2 linked regions of the Lepisosteus oculatus genome follow. The protein of the gene in region 1 interacts with the protein of each later gene in a pairwise test. Links are inferred from orthologs where the notes say so. Each region holds a gene or a part of one and is shown on either strand. Other genes may lie near its edges.

Region 1 (7,681 bases):
AAGAGGTGTTAGTGGGGCCAGCAGGGGGCGTTCACCCTGCAGTCTGTGTGGGTCCTAATGCCCCAGGATAGTGGTGAGGACACCATACTGTAAAAAGGCGCCGTCCTTCAGATGAGACTAAAAAGCGCAGTCCTGAGTCTCTGCGGTCATTAATAATGCAAGGGTGTTTCTTGTAAAGAGTAGGGGGTTGTGACCCTGGTGTCCTGGCCAAATTTCCCCCCTGGCCTTTACCAATCACGCCCTCTTAATATTCCCCTTCGTTACTCTGTTCTCCTCCCCAAGTGGTGCACTATGGCTGCCATTGTGTCAGACAGGTGGGGCTGCACATTGTGGTGGAGGGGATTCCCAATTACCAGGAAAACACTTTGAGTGGAGTGTCCAGAAAAGCACTAAGTGTAAGAAATTATTATTATAGGGGGTAAGAGCAGTGGAACCACACTGGTGCTCATAAACACAGGGGGGAAAACAATCTGCTCCAGTCAGTTCAGCGCCTGATTCAATATCGAACAGTTCTTTGACATGGAGGGGTGGGCCACCCTGATGCAAGGCGAAGCCGAGCCAGACTCCAGACTCCTGCCTGCACCCCGGAGTCAGCTCAGAGCATCTCTCTTAAGTCTTAAATCTCATCTCCTCAGGCTGGACAGTCAGCAGCTCCAGCTCTGCACTGAAGGGATAGCGACCTTTGACCTCCTTTGACCCCTGACCTGTTTGTGTGTGGGGGGGGGGGGAGTGGTGCTGGCGGGTTGAGGTTGCTCTATATTCGACAAGCTGCCCCAGTGTGAACTTCACCAGCCCTTCACAGCCGATTGGCACTGTTGATGCTCCCTTCGATGAAAATGACCTGCGATTATAGAGAGCATTCCAACCCAAAGAGCGTCCCGAGGAAGGAGTGATGCACTTTACCTCTCACTGGACTGACAGGGGAGGCGAGTGAGGAACTGTTCCACCAGCTGCATTAAGCAGGAACTTTTGAGAGGCCAAACTATTCAAGCCCAGAGTGCTGGAATTTATCCAGGGCATGGGGGGGGGGGGTCCTTGAGCCAGTTTTTTTTAACTTTTACTCTACTTATTTGCAAAGAGCGCCCTGGGATCTTTAATGACCAAGTTGGCGGGACTTTGGTTTCACGTCCTACAGCACAGCGTCTCCAGCCAGGATACTGAGGGCACTGGTGTGGGAACTGTGGTCCAGTCTCTCTCCAGACACTTCAGACCCCAATCGCCACTGCCGCCTTTTAGGACCTGACCCTTGAAGCCAGGCGAGAGAATAAGCCCAGTGGTTCGGAGGAGAGGTAACAGTCCGTGGAGACAAAACGAGAAACCGCGACATCCAGGGTGAAGCCGGGCGCGCAGTTGGGCATCACGTACGGCGCAAGGCACGAACAAGGGAAATGACTGGGAGTCGCCGTTTCCTCTCCGGCACAGCAGGAGTAGTAGTAATAATAACAATAACAGGGATCCGATGTCGGAAACGGGCCGAAAAAGACAATTTTATTAACCTCGCAACACGGAGCCCAACGAGGGCCAATTAACAGGCCAAACCCAGACCGCCCGCAGGGGTAAAAAAAAAAACGTGACACGTCCGAAAAACTTCACCCAGCAAGACGTCTGACGACTGCTCGGAAGTAAAACTCCCACAACTTTTACATAATGTACCATGTCACAGACCTTAGTGACAAAACATGCTGCTGTCGGGACACTCACGCCGCCTTGCAAGAGGAGACTTATTCGGCCCAGCGGTAGTGCGACTTAATTAGAGGGTGACGGTCTAAGAAGACCCTGCGCTGTGTCGCGTTTGTAACCACTGATCGGGGCTGCAGCTCGTCACGGGGGACGCGTCTGCCCTGCAGGCTACTACATCACGACAAGCCCACATCCACGCAGCGCGCAGGATGCGGCGGACTTGGACTCGCCGCGCATTTAAAAATATCTAGCAAATTACAAGGCGAGCCCCGGGTAGCCGCAATACGTGTTCTGTTCAATATGTGGCCTGAAAGGTTGTGTGTTTTTTTTCTCTTCTACAGTTACAGTTTCTGCGTGCGTATGATCGTACAGATTCGATCCCATCTAAAATAGGATCGGCTTTATTGAACGATTAAAAAAAAAATCACGGTCAGCTGTTTTGTGTTTGCAGGGCAGGCAACGGCAGCACCCACGCCGACCCTTTATAATAAAGAGCACGTTTTACTGACCACGTTAAGAGCCAACGTTAACTTTTTAACATGTTGACCTATTTTGCGCCAAAGACAGAAGAGACGAGCAGCAACCTAGCCTACAATTAAGTACCCCACTGACCCAAAAAAAACTTCCCTAACAAACACAAAAGCGGACACTGTTTAAGGTTAAGGTAACCTTAATTGATTGAGGTAACTCCCATCAACTTGATGGGGTGTATCCGGGCCAACAAGAACAACAAAAGATTTGGAGGTTGTTGTTTTTTTTTCAGTTGAACGACTTTATAAAAGTCTTTTGGACAAGGCTCGCCAATTTAGCCAGCAGAGCATGAAAAATCAAAACGAAATCCGCCTTTCTAGTCAAAAGAGCTGCGCGTGTGTTGTGTTGTGTTGTGCTGGGGTGGGGGGGGCGGTTAAACTTCAAAGAAAAGAAAAAAAATATGCATCTCATTTCAACTCCAGTACAAAAGTAAAAAATAGCAAGAGGATTAAACTTACCCAAAGGTCCGTGCCCCAGTCCATCGCGACAACGCCTGGGAGTTTGCAGGAGTCCAGAAGTGTCACGACCCGCCGCACAGTATATCCCGAAGAGACGATATATGAGCGCTACAAAACCGAGAGATCGATGGATAAACTCTTCCCTGATTAAGCGACATCAAACATTTTTTCCCTTCGCTCTTGCGCCTCGTCTCGCAGTCGCAAAGCGAGGTGGGATGTTCCAGCCCTCGTATCCGCGTCACTCCCAGATCCTCAATCCTTAAAGGGGCCGGGCAGTAATTCCTGCTCGGCGCAAGGCGACCCCGTGTTGACTCGGCGGTGCGCTCTGCTGCCGCGCCTATCAGCTACAGACCAGGGGCTGGAGCCGTTTCCTATCGCTGTTGCCGTGTTTCGATTAACGCGCAAAAACTGGAAAAAGTTATCACTCTGCTTTTAATAACAGTGAACAAAAATACGATTAAGGAAAGTCGTATTATTAAACGAAAGAGTAAAAATAACTCTTTATACCTTATTTTTGTACCCTTTCGTTTAATAACAAGACGTTTCACACACAAACACTTCGGTATTATTGTGTTAATATACGATTCTACTCTCTTTTGTGCGTTTTAATTTAGGGATAGATGAGCCTCTTATTTCATTGTATACGCTGGCTCAAGCGATTCCGTGCTTCCGGTGGGAAACGTGAGTTTCCTCACGAGTAACAGCAAATACCGAAGTGCTTGTGTGTGAGACGTCTTATCTGCTTTGGGCGCACAGAGATTAGGTGGGACAGTCGAGCTCCCGGGATTGTAGAAGACGGATTTGAGTTTGAGCCACCTGGAGAGGTACGATAGGAGCTTCACCACAGCTCCGCCTAGCGGTGGCGCGGAATACGACACCACGAACCTGAGCTGGAGCCTGCTTTAAAAACGCGATTGAAAGAAGGTAAATGCGATCATAATAATCCACAGGAACAATGAAGGGGACATTATTCAATTAAGACTCACAACAACAATTACCATCCACAGAGCCTGTCGTGCGTTTGTCAAGGTGGCCATCCCTCGTGTGAAATCCGATTTGGTTGGCGGCGACACGACATACATAGCAGATTACAAACTAACAGCTATCAGAAAACTGATGTGTTTTGATACAGACGAGATGAATGCTTCTTTACAACGAGGGTGGTGAGTGTCTGGAACAACCCGCTCGGCGGTATTATATATGATGAGTAAACAATTATGAATCTGCCGGCTGAGACACTCTGATCAATAAATTACAAGCAACCAAAGAAGAAGGGTGACTGGAAATATACTGAATATCTTCATAGAATGTAAATACGCGATAATTCTGTGTGTTTTAAAGTTTTTTCGTCAATTTTTCTAATTTGTAAACTATTCAAACTTTAATGTTCTGTGAAGTACGAAGCACTGTGAATCTGGGATGTGCGTGATGTGCAGAAAGCTCCATCTTGCGGCAAAAAGTGGAAATTACACTTCCAACACGCTACTGTGCAAGAAGGTCAGACAAATGTCCTCCTGCCCTCGTTATCAACAACACTTCTTCAGTTCACTTGCACAGTTTGTGCATTCGCCCAAAATAGCCCTGAGATGCAAACCTTTCATGCATTTAGTGAAGACATTTTCCTGTACACCCCACTCTTCGACTCACTGTCAAAAGCAATTTTAGCTCATATGCGGAACTGATGTGCACCTTAAAGGCAAGTGATTTTAAATTTTTGAATGCATGTCGTCTCCCAACCTGAAAACCAATGTGAAAAATGCATTCATGAGGATTTTTTTCGAAACCACGCTGAAAATTAAACCAATAAAAACACCAATTGCTAAGTGACAGAGTTACGTCTTTATTATTGACTGGAAGCAGGACGAAAGCACTGTTCACTGCAGAAGAATGCGGATGGAGTTGAAGAGGATTTGGAAAAGCAGTGGTGCGCTCGAGGGTATTACCCCAGCCCTGGCATTTATCCCAGGGTTCGGCCCATAGAGGAGGGGTCCCACCCGGCTCATCCACCCCTAGTGCTGCCCCCTCCTCAGGCGCCGGGGTGCGAAACTGCATCACCAGCTGACACCACTAGGGGAGGCTGGACTTTGCAAACTCTGCAACAACGTCTGCAGAAGAAGTCCAACCCGCAGCCTTTCGGCGGGGAGCCTGTGGTCTAGACTACTCTTCCTTCCCGCGTGCGTCCTGGCCACCTTGAAAAGATGACCTCTTTTTGTAGATTGCCAGACCTACACTTCCCCCAGAAAGCCTGACGTCAGGAGAGTTCAGGATCTCTGGGTGGAAAGACGAACCTCCATGAAGCCTTTGCACAGCAACGCACACAAACTCTTCCCCCACAGAGCCACGGGAGAGATTAACGAGCTTAACGATCACCCAGCAATGAACAGATGCCCAGCGAAGCTGTCCAGCGGGTGGGAAACACAGCAGCATGCTGACGGCCCAGCAACACACCCCTTTACCAAAAGCAACTTGTCCTTCAGGGCACAACGCAAACAGGTGACTTATTCACAGTATTTGTTTGTTCAGCCCTGCGAATCACACCTCCTGTCACATTCTGTGGGGCTATAAAAAAGGGCAGTTCGGGTGCACAGACATGAGCTGTAAGCCGTGCAGACCGCAGAATGAAGGTAAGAGCGCTCCTATGAACTTCACCGCTCCTGTGACTGCAGAAGGTAAGAGAAGGGACCTGGAGACTCATTTTGAGAGATGAATGGCCTTGACCTCCATCCTCACAAGGGTCAATCCCGCCCAGTGTGCACAAGGCAGGTGGGCAGGGTTAACCCCCCTCTTCTGTGAAACCCACACTTAAGGACTCATTCCGAACTGCCTTATATTGTATTTTGCCTGCAACGTCAGTACGATCTCCAGGTGAGCCGAAAAATCGTTTTCACACTTTGCCTTATAAAATTGCAACACAAGGCCAATGACATTTACTGGGTTACTGAGCTTTTGCGGCAACCCACAACCTCTGTGTCATACCATGATGGTGTCATTCCTTAGCCCTGACACAAGATTAAGTGTGCTGTTTCTTTATCAAATAAAATCTACACTTCAATTCTTATTCCCCTACCCAAATTACTTAGAAAAATACTTTGCTGAAACCCCATACCATGCTCCAAACAGGTTGCTCAGACTTGCTTTTTTAAACGTCTCCAAGACAAAGGAAGCGTAGAACAATATTCATCGCCCAGCGAGGATGAGGGTTAAGGGTGCTCCCTGCCGTGTGTCTCTGACCTCTCTCCCCCTGTCCCAGGCCTGTCTGTTCCTCGCAGCCCTGCTGCCAGCAGCAGTTCACCCTCTGATGTTCCAGCCCCTGGACTGTGCTGACATCTACAACGATGGCTCCACAGCGAGCGGGGTGTACAGAATATACCCTGCCGGATCCACCTCCCCCGTCTACGTCTACTGTGACATGGACACCGAGGGGGGCAAATGGACTGTAAACTGCGGGGGGGGGGGCGCTGTGCCATCCTGCAAACTCCGTGTCTGAAGGAGAGCTTGACCGGCGCCAGACAAGCTTGCTGGACTTTCTGAATTTTGCTGTAGGAGCTGCACTTCATTTTATTATGCGCTCTATTCAGTTGTGGGAAACAAGATGTCATGTGCATCAAAAAAGTAATTTCCTTGCATCTTTAATAACCCAGGGATGACGGTAATCCCACACACTGTCATTACATTCATAGGAATTTTAAACACATACTGTTATAGATGAGAATCATGTCCGCATTTTGCTTTTTAAGCAATTTCGATATTGCCTGGGTTGCGGCTGGCTTGCTTTCCCTTACTCTACCTGAACTCTTGTCTGCAGGTATTTCAGAGAAGGACAGATGGCACGCTGAATTTCTACAGAGGCTGGGAGCAATACAGGAGGGGGTTTGGCCACGCGGCTGGGGAGTACTGGCTGGGTAATGCCTTCCTCGTTCCCGATAGCACTCTCGCTCAGGGGCAGCCTCGCCGTGCAGAGCTCACGTCTAATTCCCACACAATCAACCTCTCTGAGCAGGAACACTGCACGGCATTTTCTGTTTCCATGCTGTAGTCTGCATTCAGAGGGGGGGGGGGCTTATTGAACCATTCTCTTGTCCTACAAGTACAGCATTTCATTAATTTTTGAAAGAACACAAGTGAGAATGTTTCCGATTTCACGTCGGTGACTGTGAACAGAAATTATAGATGAATGCCATCGGATGAATAGAGCCAGGCAGCAAGGTGTGACTTATCGTAACCGTCCTCTGATCTGTGACCTCTCCGCAGGGCTGGAAACCATCCACCTCCTCACCCTGCGGAAGAAGTACGAGCTCAGGGTGGACCTGCAGGACTTCGAAGGGGGTAGAGCCCATGCCAGTTACTCCTCTTTCTCCCTCTCTCCCCTGGCAGTCAATGCCGAAGTGGATGGCTACACACTCCATATCAGCGGTTTCCAAGATGGGGGAGCAGGTGGGTCATTTCTCAAGAGAACGTGCTGTAAAATTATCCGTTCGTTTCAGAGATCCTCTTTCAGAGAGTGCCTCTTTCGCAATTTGGTGCTGCCATGCAGCTCCATAGCTGTTAATAAGAGATGAGGGCTGCAGATGACAGCTTCACAGGAAAAAAGGATGAGCTGCAAGTGGCTCAGCTTAGATTTGAACCTGAAACCTCCTGTACTGACACAACTAGGACATGCCCTGGTCACCCCATGGAGCCTTTCCTTGGGCGATCAACTAAAGAATCTGCCAGACTACACCCTGTGTCCTACTCTCCAACGTTCTCTTCCTGAGAAGCACTTTATTATTTGTGCTCGACTAAAGCACAGTAACATTTACAGGAAGAACACACTTGAAAGAAGCCCTTTTGTCATTATTCTAATTAAGTGAGAACCTTAAGAAAACCTCCAGAGATGCTGAACTCTGATTTTCTTGAACGTAGCGGTCTCTCACTTCGGATGTCGCAGTTGTTTTCTGAATATCTGTGGAAACGAAGACGAAGAAATCCTTCTCAAATTTAGCACATTTCAGCAAATTTAAATATGCTGAGAT
Region 2 (7,602 bases), on another chromosome or scaffold:
TTCACTTTCCACGTTAGCCTTTACAAAAAAAAACAATTTCTCGTGTTTTTAAGGTAATGAAACACTTTAAAAGACATCCTGCAATTGAAAGATAAGCTGAAACTTTTTCCTCTGCCCTGCATTGTGTGCAGAATATATGTATAGCACCAGGCACTGTTCTATCTAGGTCACAGATCACGCATCTTTTATTACTGTTTCATTGTGCGAGTGGTTTTGATATTTCTATTAATAAAAGCCACCCACTTCAGCCTCCTGCACTGTTCTGCGAGCTGCCCTGTCAAGATGACATCACCTGAGCCGAGCCCCGGCCACGCCGCGTGGCTGCCTCTGGCTCGCGGGGGGCACCTCAGGGTCCTCCACTTACACGGCTCACGGTCTTGCTCGTCTGGGACCATGGATGTTGTAAACTGCTTTTACAGCACAACAGGCCGGGGGCATCAGCGAAGACAAGCAGAGGAATGACTGGGGGCCACTCCGAACGGTCTAATCGCCCTTTGCCAGCAGGGGGTTGTGCAGAAGGACTAGGAGGGGAGGCACCACCCCCTCCACTGTGAACTCGCATGGCAAGGGTACTGCGCAGGCGGAACAGCGACAGACTCGGGACGCTGGGCGCCTGTTTCTGTTGTAGCCGCTGTGCTGGAGAAGAAGTCCCCCCCAGGGGAGAAATGATTCAACCCCCGACTCCGCAGATCTGCCAACGGCCCGGCTCCGGAGGCTCGACCCGGGAGCCGTGCAGCTCCTCGCGCAGGTTCCCACTCGGCAAGCTGTTTCACGCCCCAGAAACCACCGGGGTTTCGCTTCAGTCAACCGGCTGAGCCGCTGAGCTCAGAGCTGGGGTGACAGCCAGGGCACCTGCGCCCCGGTTCTCCACCGAACCAGACCGAGCTGCGCCCCACACTTCAGGGGCAGGACTGCTCATCAATGCCGGTTTATGGGCGCCTACCAATGTGATCAATCCTCAGATCAATCAGCTCCTAGCTACCAGGCAGGCTGTATGGGACTAATGGCCTCCTGTTGTCTCTAACCTTTCTGATGCTCTCTGTGCCACACGGACCAGCAGAATGACCTCATTAAGCACGGACGCACTTGGCGCCGAGTCCAGAGACTGGGGAAGGCCAGGGAGAGGAAGATGATGATGATGATGATGGAGTGGACCAGCTGCTGCTCCCCTCCGACAGGCCGTTTTCAAGACCAGTAGGCGGGACACAGGACGTCAAATAGCGCCACCGTTTTGTAAACACCACCCTTTGGAGACCAGCGAACAACAGCACCGAAGGGCGGCCATGTGAGAAATCACAATGACGTGACTCATCACGCGCCCCGGGCAGCCGGCCGGTCAGCCTGGACGAGTGTCCGGTGGCTCAGGCTCTGACCCCGTGCCCCGGAGAGCCCCAGTGTCCGAGCTCCGACAGACGCCTCCGGTTCCACTCAGCTGGCAGCTCAGGACAAGGGCTCCTCTGCCGGCGTTAAGGACTGTGAAAGTATTTGGGTCCGTGATCAAATCATCACCTGGTGCAGCGCCAGGTGGAGAGAGGGATGATAAAGGACCAACGAGTTCAAGCCTCTTCCTCTCAAGCTGTCTGGGAGTCAGGAGCCCCAGTCCTGGTCCAGGTAACAGCTCCAGCCCCAGAACCTGGTCTTGCAGACACTGCCCGTCACGGGCCGAAGACCCCAGTATTCCTGCCTGCCTGGACTGGTCACTGACTCGATAACAGACAGGCAGCAAGGCCAGAGTAGAGGCCAGCTCCGCAGGACAGTTCCAGCCCAGGTACCTGGATCTGAACAGCGGAGGAGGAGACTTGCAAGGAAACAGAAAAGCCCGACACTCCTTCCCTCGTCCGGGCCAGCACGGACTCAGAGACAGCACGGGGCCCTGGCCATCTGACACACTTTAAAACTGTTCCCACAGATGACACAGAGCGCAGGGAGGGGTTCGTGCGTCTTTAAGTTGACTGAAGCAAGCGGATCTCTGCAAGCCTGCGCGCCTGCAAGCCCTGCGAGCATGCACTGCAGTTTGGAGAAGTGGCAGCAGGGGATCACGAAAGTGCTCTTGCTTTGTGCTGTGCAGACCGCAGTGTCAGCCAGGCTGCAGCAGCTCCAGGCGTCACCGGGGCTTCCTGGGCCCTGGGATAATCCATCCTGCTCCCAGAGGACTCCACACATCCCCGGAGACAACGCCGTTCTGGCACCAGCGCAGACGGCAGGTTTGCACAACACCCTAATTAAAGGCTAACTAACTTACCACAGACAGCTCAAGGGGTAAGGTGGGAAAGAGTGGGTTGGCATCTTTTTCCCCCAGAATTCCCTCGCCCCGCGAGTGTCAGTATTGTCCCCTCCTCTCTAGCACCTGGACGATCAGCCAGCTCGACGCATCAGCTCCCCACTCCCCTCGGCCCAGGCCCTTCGGGCAGAGCGCAGGCCCAGGCCCACTGTGCTGGCAGGATGTTTTAAAAGGGGACCGAGCGCGAGGCGAGCCCCTCCAAACCAGACCCCCTTCCCAGGACCTCTCGGGCGACCCGAGCGGCTCGCCGGCGTCGCCCAGAGCAGGCAGAACAGGTAGCACGGCGGCGGCCGGACTTACTTCCCCCCTGTGGTGAACTGCTTCATGCGATTCAGCTGCTTCAGCATGATGGCTTGGAAGAGGAGCCTCTCTCCGTCCGTCTGTCTCTCTCTCTCTCGGGGGTCGGCCACCGTCTGGACGGGCTGGACACCAGGAGCCACCAGCCCCGCTCCGCCGCCTCTGCGCTTAACTGCTCTCTCCGGCCCCCCCAGCCCCCAGCGCTCTGCTCTGCTCTCCCCCGGCAGCGGCTCGGACTCCTAGTTCTTGTTTTCGCCTGCTTGCTGAATGGCGACGCGCACGCCTGCACACACACACAGACACACAGACAGACGCACACACGCACACGGAGCACCGCAGTCACTGCAAAAGAGGAAGTCGCCCTGCACGGGGAACAGGAAGAGAGCTCGGTGATCTCATGGCAGAGCAGAAAGCAACGTCTTTAGCAGAGAGGCATTCGCTCCGAGAAAACAACAGAAAGAGCGAACAGGGAGGAGGGGGTGTCCATAGAACTGGGGTTCAGGCAGGATCACAAACCCACCCGCCCTGACACATCACCCCCTTTCTGTAAGCTGCGGACGCGCCACTGTTTACCGCCTTTTCTGCTCAGAGCAGGAGGGGAAATCGACTGACCACAGTCACCTTTAATAATAGCATGCCTATTAAGATAAATTAAGCAGGCTGTGTGGTCTCGGGTTCGGTGAAGGTTAAAAGAGAAACACGCACGCACGCATGGCTGAAGCCCGGTCTTTCCTGAGACTTAGCAACGGGGCGGAACCGGGCCCCGCTGGGCCTGCTCGAGGTGAGACGAGCAGCAGGGGCAGAGAGGGAGCGAGGAGGCCTCAGACCACAGCCCCAGCGAGAAAGGAACGGGGGCCGCCGGCCTGGGGGGAGTCCAGACAGGCAGCAGGAAGTGGACACACACAGAAGACGCTCCACTCTCCAGGGTCCTTCCCCCCACACCAGGCAGGATGTCACACGGCTGTAACTGGCGAGATGTTGTCTCACTCCCTGCCAGGGTGTATCTCACACGTGCAGAAGGGACCGAACTGTGCCGCTGGGCTACAGTTACAGTACAAGACGCCACAGGCCTCATGAGGAAGGAAACCATGTACCAGAGAAAGCTCCACAGAGCCGAGCGGTGAGCGTACTGATTGAACAGACAGAACCCCTCTCCCGGGCAGATCAGTAGTGCCATCAACAGCTTCGACGCAGCTATGAGCACTGAGGGCCAACCCTCCTTTTTTTTATTGCAATTTCTGTGCTTTTCAGGGACTTGCAGGCTTCGAAGAGCAGCCCCTGCTTCTGTGGGTTGCACAATACCGTCAGAAATAGCACAGGGCTTCTCAGAAGGCAGGCCGTTACCAGGCTGAGCAGCAGCAGGCAGGCGAAGCTGAGAACTGACACCATATCGTGACAACGATACGAGCTGGTATCTCCCACTCCCCGTTCTCTCTCCTTCTCCTCCCCATCTCCCCTCCCGCCCCCACCCTGAAGCCAGCGGCAGAAATCTGCCCCTCTTGCCCTTATACCCCAGCCCCCGCCTGCTTCAGGGAGCTGCCCCTCCGCCGAGCTGGAACTGTGCACCCTGTGGGAGGGGTCCGGGCGCCAGGAGAGCAGCCAGCGTGAAGGGTGTAAAACTGTCAGTGACGTGGGAGTGACTGACCGAGGGCACCGACCTGAGACAGGCATTTCTACTCCGCCTGTGCGGGGCCAGCTCTCGCTGCCCGGGGACTGCAGGACTTCAAGAGCAAGCAATGCAGCTCGTCTGAAACTCTGGGCTACGTTACGGCCACAATGCCCTCATCTGCGGCGTACTCATGACGAGTAACTGAAGCTAACCTGGAGCACGACCAACTGCACCCCTCAGTGTAGGTGATATAGCTCCACCCCTGTGCCCCTCACAACAGGTGCTATAGCACAGGTGCACCCCTCAGAGCAGGTCCTGTAGGTTCTATAGCTCCACCCCTCAGAGCAGGTCCTGTAGGTTCTATAGCTCCACCCCTCAGGGCAGGTCCTGTAGGTTCTATAGCTCCACCCCTCAGTGTAGGTGCTGTAGGCCCTATAGCTCCACCCCCACACCCCTCAGCGCAGGTCCTGCAGGTCCTGTAGGCCCTATAGCTCCACCCCCACACCCCTCAGCGCAGGTCCTGTAGGCCCTATAGCTCCACCCCCACACCCCTCAGGGCTGGTCCTGTAGGCCCTATAGCTCCACCCCCACACCCCTCAGGGCAGGTCCTGTAGGCCCTATAGCTCCACCCCCACACCCCTCAGGGCTGGTCCTGTAGGCCCTATAGCTCCACCCCCACACCCCTCAGGGCAGGTCCTGTAGGCCCTATAGCTCCACCCCCACACCCCTCAGGGCAGGTGCTGTAGGCCCTATAGCTCCACCCCTCAGGGCAGGTCCTGTAGGCCCTATAGCTCCGCCCCCACACCCCTCAGGGCAGGTCCTGTAGGCCCTATAGCTCCACCCCCACACCCCTCAGCGCCGGTCCTGTAGGCCCTATAGCTCCGCCCCCACACCCCTCAGGGCTGGTCCTGTAGGCCCTATAGCTCCACCCCTCAGGGCTGGTCCTGTAGGCCCTATAGCTCCACCCCTCAGGGCAGGTCCTGTAGGTTCTATAGCTCCACCCCTCTGGGCAGGTCCTGTAGGCCCTATAGCTCCGCCCCCACACCCCTCAGGGCAGGTCCTGTAGGTTCTATAGCTCCACCCCTCTGGGCAGGTCCTGTAGGTTCTATAGCTCCACCCCTCAGGGCAGGTCCTGTAGGTGCCCAGACTGCATCTGAGGGATCGCACTCAGTCTTGGCAACAGGCTTCAGCCACCCGGCTCTCACAGGCAGCTCTTCCTCCTTCTCGGCAGACAGCAGGCCGCAGGAGGACGGGACTTGAGAAAAGGGGAAACGGGAGCAGCTCGCTTCCAGCCCCCCCCCGACCCCCCCGGACCACAGGCCCTGCGGCAACTGCAGCGCTGCTCGGAGAGGCCCAGCGACGCGCGCGCACCAGAGGCGAGAGCGTCTGCATCACGCAAGGGAAAACTTCCCCAAGCGTAGGGCGTGTTGCAATTGTCAGCGACTTGCACAACGGCTTCCCAGCCCACCTGACGGACCCCCGCCAGCTCCAGACACTCCAGCTTTGCGCCGCTTAAGCCAAACTCTGCACCAGTTTACCAAGTGGGGAATAAAACACAGGCCTGAAAACCGGCCCCTCGGTCATTAGGCAGACAAGCCTCACCCCTTCTTTTTCATTGAAATAGAAATAGGGAACAAGCAGAACGGGGGTCCGGCCCTTAACTGCTGGAGGGACCAACATCCCCCGACTTCAGTCCCTTGCTGCATAACTGAAATACCTCAAGCCCAGCACCATGGTGTTTAAAAATAACTTCTCGCAAACCAAAACATTTGGTTTATCAAGTCTCAAAGATGTAATAAACCCCCCCTCTTTGCAAACCCGTTTAACTAGAAGCCCATTCCAGACCCTCCAGAGGCCTGGAAGACCAACTCCTGCTTCCGCAGTTGAGGAACTCCTGTTCTGTGACTGTACGGTGCCACCTGGTGGACAAACTCAAAACTGCACCCACTTAGGCACAGGTGCAATTAACTTGATTATTGCACAGACCCACACAGACACTCCCTCCACTCTCTGGGCTGCACAGAAAAGACAGGAAGCCGCAGAAGAGGTGGAGGCATAGGATAAACCCAAGAATTAGATATCAATTAAATAAAAGCAGCATTCTCAGTTATTTTTTATTATTCTCTTTACACAAGAAACCCCCCCCGCTGCCCGTCTCAGTCAGTTAAAAAGTCCAACACAATGCAAAACCAGTTTCTCAGATGGCTTGTATTAAGTTAAATATTCAGTCTTGAAAAGAGAAAGCCGCTTAAAGTTACATTAAAATACAGGTCTTCCGTTGGCATCAGAGTGGAGCTCGATCCCCGGTGCAGGAGCAGCTGGACCCCCCGGGATGACTGTGTGGGACGCGCCCGGCCCGCCCTGCGGCGCGGACAGGGGGCGGTAATACTGCAGGGGGTCAAGGAAGCCGGCCGGAGGAGAGCTCGATCAGGCTCCTGCTCCCCGTTCACCGCAGGTCAAACGGCTCTCCCCATGACAGACCGGACCCCCCCCTCCCACCCCCGGACTGTACAGCAGCGAGAGCTAGACCAGACCCCCCAGCCCCCCCAGTGACCCCCCGCCGCGGGTCCGGCAGAGCCGTCGGCCCCGGACTGCCACCAGCTGGCGCCGGGCCCCGCCGTCCCGGGAGCCGGAGGAATCCCAGCCGGCCGCGCGAGGGGGAGATTCCGGAAGGGCCAGGGGCCGCCGGAGACCAGATTTCCCACCAGGACATGGCGGCCCCCCGCCTCCCACCCGCCCAGCTCTCCCGGCGGAGACCCCGCCCCCCGCGCCGGGGTCGGGAGGAAGGGGTCGGCGGTGAAGTCGGATCGCGGCGCTGGTTCCCCTTGGTCCCGGTTCCGGCTGTCCCCACACCCCCAGACCCTCCCCCCACAGATGTAAACCATTAAAAACTCTGGAAGAAACTGGGAATGAACACACTTCCAGCAGCAGTAACTGAAGAGGAGCTGGTGGTGTGCGTGGGGGGGGAGGGGAGGGGAGGGGAGAGGGGGGGGTCACTCTCTAGTCTCCGGGATTGAACAGCACAGGGGGTGTCCTTCCTCTCTTCCTCCTCTCCCCAAGTCACCCCGGTCCCGCCACACAAAGCACCCCCCCACACCCAGCCTGCCAGAGGAAAGTGAAGGGGGGGGTGGGCAGACTGTGGACACCCCAAGCCTTACCCTCCCACCCCCCCACCCACCGGTCCATCACACCACCCCCAAATTCCCCGTCGCGGTGGGGGGGCCCTAGCGCTTGGACTTGGCTTCGGCCTCTTCTTTCACTGAAACAGAGAAGCGGGAGAGAGAGAGAGCCACAGAGGCGCGTGAGTGAGGCGGGGACAGGGCTCCCACAAACCTGCCGGACCGAGACCAGATCAGAGCCAGCCAGGCCCGGGTCCAGAGAGAGAGAGCCGGCAGAACCGGCCAGCAACAGCACA

Evidence for each region. The genes of interacting proteins can lie anywhere in the genome.
Region 2: the proteins of trip10a (region 1) and sh3bp1 interact in binary tests that used the Homo sapiens proteins (3 or more experiments, as listed by UniProt). The two-hybrid records come from large-scale screens. The link is inferred for Lepisosteus oculatus from reciprocal best matches to the Homo sapiens genes TRIP10 and SH3BP1.

What each region holds. Positions count from the first base shown.
Region 1 is NC_090706.1:15,204,468-15,212,148, forward strand, and holds the start of trip10a (cdc42-interacting protein 4 homolog), read right to left. Parts: upstream 3,007-7,681; 5' UTR 2,694-3,006; coding exon 2,670-2,693; intron 1-2,669. Other genes in the region: microfibril-associated glycoprotein 4-like, read left to right, coding at 4,962-5,162, 5,920-6,105, 6,475-6,571, 6,921-7,103. UniProt on the Homo sapiens protein: Required for translocation of GLUT4 to the plasma membrane in response to insulin signaling. Required to coordinate membrane tubulation with reorganization of the actin cytoskeleton during endocytosis.
Region 2 is NC_090707.1:38,318,109-38,325,710, reverse strand, and holds the start of sh3bp1 (SH3 domain-binding protein 1), read right to left. Parts: upstream 3,003-7,602; 5' UTR 2,629-3,002; coding exon 2,582-2,628; intron 1-2,581. Other genes in the region: pdap1a (pdgfa associated protein 1a), read right to left, coding at 7,412-7,446. UniProt on the Homo sapiens protein: GTPase activating protein (GAP) which specifically converts GTP-bound Rho-type GTPases including RAC1 and CDC42 in their inactive GDP-bound form.